2 linked regions of the Cricetulus griseus genome follow. The protein of the gene in region 1 interacts with the protein of each later gene in a pairwise test. Links are inferred from orthologs where the notes say so. Each region holds a gene or a part of one and is shown in the gene's direction. Other genes may lie near its edges.

Region 1 (6,069 bases):
AATGTAGTTGGGTCGTGGAAATAGTAGTTATTGCTTGTAGTATGCTAAGGTTAGGTCTCTGGGATAAAACCCGATGTAGCAGAACATCTGCCCTGAAGAGTTATAAGGAAGCTAACTATTATAGTGTAGTACAAGGAACCATTGGGCTGAGATGTGAGTATCACGACTTTGTACAGAGACAAAAGATTTTAGATGTCATGATCCATAACTAGAGATGAGTTTAAGTGTATACCAAAGCAAGTTCAGGGGGTTCGTTGTTAACTCTGGTCAACTCTTTGGTTGGGACTCAGTATTTTACGTTAGCTGACTGCAAACTTTTTTTAGGTTCTTAAACACATGTGCTTCCATCTTAACATTTCGTTTGCCCTGAAGGAATTGAAATCCTCACATTCTAACTTGCATACAGGTCATTAGGAAATGGAGATAGTTGTGTTTCTTCAACTTCTGTTTAGATCAATCATTCAGTAATTATAATAATATGAAATGGTTGCTTTCTGTATGTGCTAATAAAAAGTTATGTTAATTTTTGAGTTAACTATAGGCATACAGTACACACACATATACACACACACACACCCTAAGAAGACAGATCAGGTGGAAATTGGAAGAACTGCCTGACCTTAGAAGTTATGGAGGAAGGAAAGCTAAATTCCATGAAATTTGGACAAGTTAACAGCCCAAGGTTTGAGGTTTCTGTTTATTTTTTTAATTGGTAGCTTTGGGTAATAAAACATTAATTATGTTTTATTAATAAACTAATATTTAGTTTTTTGTATTATTGTTATATCCTGAAATAAGTGTTTGGATCAGAAATGACATACCTTCCAATAAATCCTTCTTGCCCAAGGGAAAACTTGAGATAGCAATGTATATTCCAAGAGCATTTTTTAAGAGCTAATAAATAGACCAGAATGTTCTCAGAAAACAAGGAAAAGTCGTTTTTCTCGGTAGAGAAGCTGACAAGGCTATCCTCAATTCCTTTCTTTTATTCTGAGGGCTGTGTTCTGTACAGAGGAGTTTTATATTTTCGTGTTAAGAAAATTCACTACCCAACACCATTATTATCATTGGTATGTGAACGGCCGATGCTAGATCCTTGGCACATTTTATGAAGATACAATAGTGTATTTCATGTGTGGCACACTCATTTTGTGTTTCAAAGGAAGTATTTTTATCCTATGTAAGATTCTATTAAAATTCCTAAAATTGAGGTTCAGAATATTCAGTTCTATAAGAAGGTAATTCCCTAAGCAGATTTTACTCAATTATTCTAATGTAGTCTACGAAAAGCAATATGATGAGAGTAAGAAAATAAGTTTTCACTGTAGTATCACCAGAAGGGGGGTAGGGCACAGAGATGGGCAGCCCCTGTAAGCCTGACTCAGAATTGAAACTGTTTTCTTTTCTGGGAGGAAATCTCAGTCTCAAGACTGTAGACTCTAGAGGAGCCCAAAACATTCAATGGTAGGGTTTTCTGACTTATTATAGACTTGAAGTGTGTGGGTGGGTGGGAGACAGTGTTTAGAAAAGGCAAAGTTAAAACCCCTTTATGATAATGTCTTTTACAGCACGTGAATTTACAAAATGGGTTCAAAGAAATTATATTTATTGTATTTTTAGTGCCTGGGAAGTCACGACTTACTAGACAGGTATTCGATAAGTATTGGTCGAATTAACGGCCTTTATCCACATGCCTTTTGAATTCTAGACGCAGCCCGGGTCTTTACTCCATAGAAAGCAATGGAGCTGGAACCATAAATCCCTTAAAAGGTCAGGACCAGTTAACAAGGCTGAGCTAACCTCCTGGGCAGTGCCACACACACAGGCTGAAAGCCATGAAGGAAGAGGAATCAAAACAGGCTTAAAGAGACAGAAAAAACAAAACAACAATAACAAGCGAGCCTAAGAGGAAAGACATTTCTGCTGTGGGTGTTAGCAGGAAGCGACCGCAATTACCGTAGGTCATCATACCCCTGTCAGTAGGCGATCACCTCGGTCACAGCCACCAGGGCCGTGGGGAAGGCTCACACCCCACTTTTTTCAAACGCTCTCGATCAAGACTGCGCAGCCCGGGTTCACCCGAGTTCCTTGGAAAGAGCACCGCCAAGCACCTAAGGCTCGACCTGTGTCCACTCCATTCAAATCACGCAGCCAATAGGAAAACCCTCCGCCCTGGGCAGACGCGTCGCGCGGCAGGGCGAGCCCCGGAGGCAGGTCAAGCCCGGTACCGCCCGCTTCTCCAGCCGGCCAAGCGGCCGGCGTTTCTCCAGAGCTCTCGGTCCCGCAGGACAACCTTTCCTTCCCGGCTTCCTCCCTCCCTTTCCAGGATCGTCCCAGCCCCCGCAGTCACAGCCACACCCGCTTCCCTCCGGTGGCGCCCCCGCCGCCACACTCGGGCGGCCGCGCTCTTCCTGGGCCGGGCCGGAGGGCGGGGAACGGAGGGGAGGGGACAGGAGGAGGAGGGAGGCGGAGCGCGCATGCGCACTGGCCGCGGGGCGCCTCCCCGGCCCGGATCTCGCGAAGTTACGCTCAGCCGGGCCGCGGCTGACGGACGGGCGGGCGGGCGGTCGTGCCGGGGGCGGGAGGGCGTCTGTGGGAGGAAGAGAGGTCCAGCTCTGCCGGGCTCGCCCCAGTGCTCTGTGGGATACTGGAAGTCTCGAGCGTCTCCTCCCCGGCTCGCAGCTCGGCTCCGGGCCGCTCTCGCAGCCACGGTCGCACACCCCCCGCGTCCCCTCGCCGCCGCCGCCGCCCCCTTCCCCCGCTCGCGATAAGAAGAGCCGGCGGCAGGAGAGGGGGATGAAGATGGCGGACGCGAAGCAGAAGCGGAACGAGCAGCTGAAGCGCTGGATCGGCTCGGAGACGGACCTCGAGCCTCCCGTGGTGAAGCGCCAGAAGACCAAGGTGAAGTTCGACGATGGCGCCGTCTTCCTGGCCGCCTGTTCCAGCGGCGACACGGACGAGGTCCTCAAGCTGCTGCACCGCGGCGCCGACATCAATTACGCCAATGTGGACGGACTCACCGCCCTGCACCAGGTCTGTGCGCCCGCCGCTCGCACTCCCACCCCCACCCCCGGGCCCACGCCGTTCTCGCGCCCCCGGGCCTCTCCCGGTCGCCGGTCCTGAGGCCCGGGGGTGGTGGCGGGAGACTCCCTGCTGCGGGTGAGGGGGCGGCTCCGTCCGGGGAGGCTGGCCGCGGGGCTCCGGGGCCCCTTCAGACCCCGCTCGCTGCCTCTGCAGTTGGGAGCCGGCTGGTTTCCTGGGCGCGGGGCAAGATGGGACTGTGGTCTTGTGGGGGGGAACCCCAAGGGCCATTTGTGGACCTGTGTCTGGTGCTCTGGGTCAAGACGAGCAGGAGTGTGTAATGGATTGTGCCGAGGCCCGGTGTCAGTAATACACTGTTGGGTGTGGGGGGGGGGGAGGATGTAGAAAACCACTAACAGGGTGACTTGGGCAAATGGACCCCCTTGGCCTGGAAGTGAACATTGGTTTTGGTGTACTTTTTTAGGAGTTGATTACAAATGATGATGATAATAATAGTAATCAAGAACCATAGCCCCGGTGCCCTGAGCGAACGATTTCCTGTTTTCTCCTTTATTACTCTTGGTCACTGGGGAGGGGAAAACGGGGTGTAATTAGCTAATCTGCAGAGGCTGAAAGAGAGGGGATGGTCGTGTATCGGGTAAGGGAGTCTTCCCAAGTGGGCTTGCCCACTTCTCCACTGAAATCTATGGATTCCTGTACTCGAAGAGTTTGTCGCAGTGTCACAGATCCCTGAGTCCTGGCTCCTGGAGTGTGCAGCGGAGCTAGAAAGAGAAGAATAAACACTGCACTCTTCAAAGTCAGTTGCCAAACTTTGTTGTTGTATTTTTCTTTTGGGGTGGGGGCAGAAAAAAAGAAAGCTAATCACAATCTTTTCTCAAAATGGATGCTCTGTGCACGTTAAAGTTTTATAGTAGTCCGATTGGGATCTCTCAGTGTTAGCCAAATAAGGAGAAACTATTGGCAATCCAGAGATAATGTTGCTTTGCCTTTAACAAGCCAAAAGCAACAAAACCCTTAAGAGTCCTGCTTGAAAAGCAAGTTTTAAGTGCTGGTAATAGGTGCCATGGCATAAATTCTTTTATTTTCATATTAAGCAACTTGGAATTACTAGGAAATTGACAATGAAAAAGACTTATCTGGCTATCTCAAAATCGTCCTGGTTGTGTGAAAAATCAGTTTTATTTTAAATAATACTGTGGTTAAAAACTCGTTTGGGTGGTTGAAAGTTAGGGCTTCACACTTTGTATCTGAACTTTACATTTTGTGGCTATTAACTTTGTACCTTTTAGAAAGGCATGGTATATTTTCCTTATATTGCTTCCTGCTTTAGTAAGCGATGACCATTTTAAGTTTTATTTAATCAAACTCGAATATCACACTTGGCGTTTAGCCTTTGTTTACAGAGCTGACTGGAAGGGTTGAAATGACTGACAATTTGCAGGACAGATCTGGAATTCAGAGTGGCACCCAGTGAAAAGTACAGCGTGGTATCTCTAATGTAGTGCATCTGCCTAAAGCTTAAAGCATAGTATAAGTCAAGATCACAAAGCATGATTTTGAGAAGCAACTTTGGCATTAAAAAAATGTAATTATATAAAATGGGGGGAAAAACACCCTGAAGTTTCCTTTCAAATGTCTGTGCAAGTTTAGTGTGAAATTGTTTCTGAAACACAGTTACTGTATGTCAGAATACTTGGATAATGGTTCATATCAGTGTGTTTTCTAACACTGCTAAGTAGAAATGTAAAGTTACCCTATAGACAATTTACTGGATTGAAGGAAGAGGGCCAATTCTCTCTCTTTTTTTTTAATATTGTAAAAGCTGTTTAGGCAGTAGAAAACACATGGAATTGTCTTTGAAAGACTGTTTCTCAGTTTTTACTTCTTTAAAGAGGCTAGACCCACTGATATCTTCTTGATTAACTGAATTCAGTGGTTTGGTGCGTGTACTTAATAGTCTTTATTATTGAGTGTTTCATTTGGGTTAACAGGCACATAAGGAGAAGTTTCTGAGTTTATGCCTTTTGCATAACTGATTGGGTGACTAGTCAAATATTTTAGTACTCAAAAGATCATAAAATAACTGAAATATTTGCCCAGCCTAATTTCTCTTTAGTCTATTTGAATATTCACTCAACTTTTTAGTTTGGATAAAATTACCCAAGTTTTTGTTAACAGGAGACAAGTTCTGGGTACTTCACAACCCACAACTACATTCAACACCTGCATTTTCCTTACATTTATAAGTGGTTTGTAGTTAAAGGTTTATTTATTGGTTGAATGAGCTCTCATTAAAAGCAATGAAAGAAACTCAGCTATTGCTCTTTATCCCGTTGATATAGAAATGCCATCCGAATAGAGAGAAAGCAAACTTCTGTCTGAGTCTCTAAATGGCCTTCCTCTTTCAGGAGTATGGTACTGTTGTTTGACTTTTTTTCTAACCCTGAAGTCTAGAGTACAGTTTCAGTCTTTCTAGCTGGCAATTATTCACCTGCAGAGTTTTATTTATAGTCTTCGTGAACATTTTCAAGATTTATTGGGTTATATATAAAATGCCCTTTGCTGGTCTTTACTGATATGCCTATAATGCAAGAGTAACAATTTCAAGTTTAGCTTTTTGATTTTAACTCAAAATCCTATTTTTTTCTCTGTGCCAATGGTTTCCAAATCAGTTCTCAGTTTCCATTCTTACATAGCACCCAACTTTCTCTTATAAAGTGAAATATAACTATATATTGTAATTTTAATTAAAAATATATATCATTAAGTAGTCACATATATTCTGATCTGTTTCTTTGCCATAGGTTGACAGCAACTTTGTTTTTACAAAACATTTCTTTAAGGGATTCTTACTGTTCAGAAAAAAAAAAATTGTGATTGAGTTATAATCTGTTTTTGTCACTTGTTTATATTTTCATGTCTTGAGATTATATAGAATCCTTTTTGTGCAGTCTGAATATTCAGCTTTAGTTTTAAATCATCATGAATTTCAGCTTAAAATTCAGACTAAAACACCGTTCCTCACTA
Region 2 (6,226 bases), on another chromosome or scaffold:
GGCCTAGAACTCACAGAGATCTGCCTGCCTCTCCCTCCAGAGTGCTGGGATTAAAGGTGTGCGTCACCAACGCCTGGCTAAGTGGTTCTTTTATAAGTGTTTCCTTGGCCAAGATGTGTCTTCACAGCAATAGAACAGTGACTAAGACAACTTCTAAGTGTGGGTTTTTTTTTTCATTGATTTGTGTGTGTGTGTGTGTGTGTGTGTGTGTGTGTACATGTGGGTATAGGAATGGAGGTCAAAGGACAATGTGTTTGAGTTGGTCCTCTTCTACCATGTGGCCCCAGGGGTATCAAGCTTGGCAGCCTGAGCTATTTTGCTGGCTCTCTGTATTTTAAAACCTTGATGAGTTATTCTAATTACTTGACAAGTGACAAGTATTATCAGTAGATGATAAGAAAGCACAATGAAGTCAGCTTTCAGGGTCTGAGACTGGTGACAGGTTGCTGCACCCCAGGGAGGAGCACAGATTATAACATTTAAATATGAGGATCCAGGTTTTCTACCTTTTTAGGGGGACCTTTTGCCTGAGACCTCCCCCTCAGGCCCCTGCAGTATCTTTTCCTAAGGAGACCTCCTTTGCATCTCTTGGCCTTCTGTCCTAGGTTGCCTCTTACAGGGATATGGTTTGGTTTTGTGTGCCTCTCTCTCTCTCTCTCTCTCTCTCTCTCTCTCTCTCTCTCTCTTTGTGTGTGTGTGTGTGTGTGTGTTAGCATCCAGGACCTGACAGAGTGGTCAGTCACTCCTGTGCATGGCAAGCAGTACCCTGGTTCTGTACACAGGCGCAAAAGGTCCATTTAAGAGACAAACTTCACCTATTCCCACTCTCTTTCCTGCTGTTCCTCTGAAGAGACAGGCAGGTTTTTGCCCCCTCTCCCTTCTCTTCCCCCAATAAACTTACCATGTAAGTTTTGTCCGCATGATGTGGGTCTGGACTCACCTGCCAAGGTCCAATCTCTGTATCAAATAGTGCTGGGATTAAAGGCAAATGCCACCACCTCCCGACTAGATAATACTTTTATTTATTTATTTATTTTTGATTTTTCAAGACAGGGTTTCTCTGTGGCTTTGGAGGCTGTTCTGGAACTAGACCAGGCAGGTCTTGAACTCACAGAGATCCGCCTGCCCCTGCCTCCCGAGTGCTGTGATTAAAGGTGTGCGCACCACCACTGCCCGGCTTAGAAAATACTCTAAAAGTCAGCCCCAATGTGGGGATATATCTGACAAGCATCTGGTCCCCTAGAGGGATCCTCCTCCCCAGGTCTCCTGTTGTGATGGCAAAGATTAATGGTCAGATTGACAAACTCTAGAATTACAAACAAAACAAAAACCCCAAAACCAAACAAACAAAAAACAAACCCCCAAGCCCCCAAACAACAATAACAAAAAACCCCGAAAAACCACCCCCCATCAAAAAACAAGCCTCTGGGCATGTTTGTGAAGGAGTATATAGATTAACTATGTGGATACCTGCCCCAAATGTAGGTGGTACAGTTCCATGGTCTGTATAAAAAAGAGGAAGCCAGTTGAGCAGCAGCATTCATCCATTGGTGTCTGCCTCTGGCTATGGATGCAATGTGACCAGCTGCCTCAGGCACTTGTGCCATGAGTCCCTACCATATTGGCCTGTACCCTCAACCTGTGAGTTAAAATAAACCTATCCTTTTAAAAGTTGCTTTTGTTAGGTATTTTGTGGCTGCAACACAGCCACAAATGAAAATGAAATGAAAACGCCACTCATGGCGACACTTTTTCCCAGCATCCTCCCCTGTGGGAAGAGCTTCCTTCCTGGTTCTTTCCCAAGGGAACACTTCTGTTCAGAGTCTTCTCCCTGTGAGGGAAACCTCTGTCCAAGGTCGTCGTATACAGGCTCTAGGTAGCCAGCATCCTTCCCCATGGGGGAACCTCCATTTCAGGTCTCCCTCCATGGAGCACTTCAATCTAGCCTCCCTTCTCTGGAGGGAGTCTATTCCAGGTTCTCTAGCAATGGGACTACGTGGTCCAGCAACAAATCCCCTGAGGGGAAGTCTTCTTTCCAGGTCCCCTCCCAAGGGGACACCTCTGGCCAGTATCCCCTTTCCTCCCTTCTGAAGGAACCCCCTTCCCCGGACCCCTCAGGGGACGGCATCCATTATTCTGGGGGCACAGTTTATGCCCCACCTATGGAAGCCCTTCCTCAGGGTGAACATCTGTCCCTGACAAGACAGTCTCTAGCACACCCCGTCCCCGCCCCCTTCGTCCCAGTCAGTATTCTGTCCTTTTGGGGGCGTCTTTGCCCCCGATGCCCCACTGAGGACCCGAAGACCCCCCTCCTTTCCCAAACAGGAGCAGGACTTCCGCTGAGCCCCCTCCCCTCAGGCGGGACTTCCGCCCTCGCCCCCTCCCCCTGCTGCGCTGCGTTGTCCTCTCAGCCTGAGGCGAGCCGGCTAGTCTCGCGCTCTCTGCCTCGCAGCTGCGCGGGATCTGGGTGACACGGGCTGCGGAAGCCGGAGCCGTGCAGATCGCGTCTCTGTCTCCTCTCCTGTCGCTTGTCTCCTCTTCTCTCGCTCTTCTCTCCGCCTCGTCAGGTTCGGCTAAGAGTGAGTGGCAAGATGGCGGCGCCCAGGATGCCACCCTCCCGGCTGTCGGGCGTTATGGTGCCAGCACCCATCCAGGACTTGGAGGCCCTGCGCGCCCTCACCGCGCTCTTCAAGGAGTACCGTAACCGGTAACTGTGCAGGGGCTGCTGGTTAGGTGGAAGAAGATCCATGGAGGGGCTCTGGGCTGGGCGGCGGGCGAGGCGGGGCGGCGGGCGAGACAGGCTTGGCCCACGCTCAGGTTGTGGCTCTGTGGCTCGCGCCTAGGCCTGCTCCGGACGAGGCTTTGCCCAGGCCCCGAGGAGGCAGGCGGTGGCAACGCTGGTCCCCAAGTTGGCTGTGAGGAAGCTGTTGGTTTGGCTCCTCAGGCGAGGCCCTGAGGGCGGGCGATGGCCGGGGAGGCGTGTTCAGGCTTGCTTCCCACCACTGGGTTAAAGGGAGATGCCCGGGAGCCTGCAGATCCGGACTGGCTTCTTGACATCTGCTCAGCGTTGCCTCCGACCTTTCTGTTTCTAGCCTTAAAAATGGGACATAGGGTGCGTGTTTCCAATGCTGCGACGAAATAAGACTTGGAAACAGAAGTATGGGAGGCTGTCAGTTCCTGTTGGATTTTATAGTATTGTTGGTGCTGCAGTTTCCCTTTCTGTTTAATGGAAGGGATGTTGGAGGGTACCCCCTTAGTGGGATGGTAGTGAGAATTTAATGAGATTATGCATGTCACAGCCTTGGGCCATTCCTGACACCTAGCACTAAACAGGCATTAGTATTTTTTTCTCAACAGTAATGGTCTCCCCTGCACCAAGTACTGTGCTTAGTTATTGGAGTGAGAGGATTCAGAACCCTTGTTCTCTCTTGTGGGGAGATAACATGTAATCCCAGTGTGGATAGAGAGCAGAGATCAGAGTGGAAAAGAGCACGTAGGCTTGGGTAGAACTTTTCCTTTGTAAAAAACAGATAATCGCTTTAATCACAGTACTTGGGAGGCAGAGGCGGGAGGATCTCTGTGAGTTTGAGCCTGGCTTGGTTTCTAGAATGAGTTCCAGGACAGCCAAGGCTACACAGAGAAACCCTGTGTTGAAAAACCAAAATAAATGAATAAATAAATAAACCCTGTACTGAAAAACCAAACCAAACCAAACCAGCCAGATAGACGGACAGACAAACAATCAGACAGATAACTGAATCAGGCATAGTGGCACAGGTCTTCAATCCCAGCATTCAGGAGGCAGAGACAAGTGGATCTCTGAGTTCAGTGCCAGACTGGTCAACATTGTGACAGTCTCCCTATCCCCAAAACAGATACACAAACCAACTACAGCAACAACAAGAAAAAATGCTGAGTTGAGTACTTTCCCATCTGCAGTCGCAGTAGAAGGGTGTGCATCTAAAAGGGTATTGAAGGCCCCAAGGTACTGCTGCTTGGGTTTGTGGGTAGGACGCTGATCAGTGTGATACTTCTGGGAAATAATGTTGGTTGATCTGCTGCTTGGGTGTGTTTATACCGTGCAGGACCTATACCTTATTCATTAACCGTATATTGAGCACTATAAAACAAGTCTTTGCAGGGGGCTGAAGTTACAAAAACAAATGTGACATAATTCCTTTCATCAGACATGTCAGGGGATTGCTGTGTAAAGATAATGTAGTAGATATCCACACAGTAAAGGTCCTTCCTTCCAGCCCAGGAAAGACAGATAATTGGAGAGGGCCTGGAAGATGGTTCAGTGGTTAAGAGCAATTGTTGCTTCTCCAGAGGACCAGGGTTTGATTCCTACAATCCACATAGAAGCTCATGACCATCTGTAACTCTAGTGCAAAGGGATTTGATGTCCCCTTCTGGCTTCTATGGTTATCAGATACACACATGGTATACATAGACATACACACAGGCAAAACACCCATACATGTAAAATTACTAGAGATTCAAGGGCTAGCTAGAAAAGGCAGTGTCTGTGAAAGGGTCTTATATTGATTTTGTAGAGTTGCAGAGAAACAACCAGACAATATGTCTTGGACAGAGGAGACAGTTGAACATTGACTTCCTTTACGTAAGCTTGTTGAGAAGATTAAGGCCCATAGACTTCTTGATTTGGTCTTTTGTGAGAGGAATTATGGGAAACTACTGATGGCTTCATTAAAAAAAGTGGTTTGATAAAATGTGTTTGTGAGGAAAGTCTTTCTGATTGCCATTGGAAAGAGAACAGAGAGACATTAGAGCAGAGAGAGGGATGAAGGAGGAAGGGTGTGTTTCAGCAGCTGTTGCAGAAATCCCAGTGAAAAAGTGCCCAGATTAGAGCATTGTGGGGAAGGAGAGGATGGATGTTGAGGAATCTGTAAAACTGAATGGGTAGGATTCAGGGACCACTGGCTCGCTGCTGTGGGGTGAAGATGAGAATGCTTCTGAGGTTTGGTTTCGGTTCTTGTGGAGCAGTGACCCCGTTTCAGTCAGTTTGGAGCTCGGAAAGGATGAACTGGTGCTTGGAGAATGCAGTTATATGGTGGTGCAGAGTTCTTGATTCTAGTTCTGCGTTGTCACCTAATTGTTTTTTTTTTGTTGTTGTTGTTATTTTTTTTAATTTTTTAATTTTTTTTGGTTTTTCGAGACAGGGTTTCTCTGTGTAGCTTTGGAGCCTATCCTGGCACACGCTCTGGAGACCAGGCTGTCCTTGAACTCACGGAGATTCACCTGCCTCTGCCTCCCAAGTGTTGGGATTAAAGGCTTGCGCCACCAACGCCCGGTCTAATTTTTTTTTTTTAAGATTTATTTATTTGTGTATTAGGGTGTTTTGTCTGCATGTATGTCTGTACACTGGAAGAAGGCATCAGATCTTATTATAGACAGTTGTGAGCCTTCTTGTGAGTACTGGGAATTGAATTTTGGAAAGTCAGCTAGTGCTCTTAACTGCTGAGCTGTCTCTCCATACCCTCATTTTAAAAATGGAAGAGAGAGAGAGAAAAAAAAGAGAGTGTTTTGTTTTTGTTTTTTTTTCTGTCTATATGTATGTGCATGTATGCAGGGCCTGTGGGTCTCCTGGAAGTGGAGTTAATGGGCTAGGGGATAGGGGAGTGAGCCACATAATGTTGGTGCTAGGAACGGATTCAGGTCCTCTGCAGGAGCAGCAGGTGCTCTTCACTGTTTTTGGTGTGTCTTTTGGGTAAACCTCGTGTTTTTTTAGCCCAGACTCCATATGTTCCAAGAGGATCTTTCCAGTTCTTAACTTATTTTTCTCTTCAAATTTCTGCTTAAAGTTTCTCTTTTAACTTGCCTTCTAGTTTGTTCATCTTTTCTTCATCAAACTTGCTATCATTGTGTTATGTATTTGAATATATCTGTTTTTATATTTCTATACTTTGTTGAAACTGATGTTCTCATTTAATTATGTATATTGATTATAAAGATTGGGCCTGATAACTTTTTATCGAGTGTGTGTGTGTGTGTGTGTGTGTGTGTGTGTGTGTGTGTGTGTTTGATCATTTGGCTCTTTTTATTGAATGCTGAATATTTTGTGTGAAAAAATTAATTTCTAGCTAGAGTTTATAAAGTATTTATAAATTTAAAACCAAAATCAACTTAAAGCACATTGTTAACAATTTGTCTATTACTTGGAATAAAATGAACCTTGACCTATATCTCAAACCATCCAGAAAAA

Evidence for each region. The genes of interacting proteins can lie anywhere in the genome.
Region 2: the proteins of Ppp1r12a (region 1) and Atxn10 interact in binary tests that used the Homo sapiens proteins (3 or more experiments, as listed by UniProt). The link is inferred for Cricetulus griseus from reciprocal best matches to the Homo sapiens genes PPP1R12A and ATXN10.

What each region holds. Positions count from the first base shown.
Region 1 is NW_023276806.1:147,070,658-147,076,726, reverse strand, and holds the start of Ppp1r12a (protein phosphatase 1 regulatory subunit 12A), read left to right. Parts: upstream 1-2,568; 5' UTR 2,569-2,796; coding exon 2,797-3,033; intron 3,034-6,069. UniProt on the Homo sapiens protein: Key regulator of protein phosphatase 1C (PPP1C). Mediates binding to myosin. As part of the PPP1C complex, involved in dephosphorylation of PLK1. Capable of inhibiting HIF1AN-dependent suppression of HIF1A activity.
Region 2 is NC_048595.1:382,150,478-382,156,703, forward strand, and holds the start of Atxn10 (ataxin-10), read left to right. Parts: upstream 1-2,449; 5' UTR 2,450-2,591; coding exon 2,592-2,707; intron 2,708-6,226. UniProt on the Homo sapiens protein: May play a role in the regulation of cytokinesis. May play a role in signaling by stimulating protein glycosylation. Induces neuritogenesis by activating the Ras-MAP kinase pathway and is necessary for the survival of cerebellar neurons.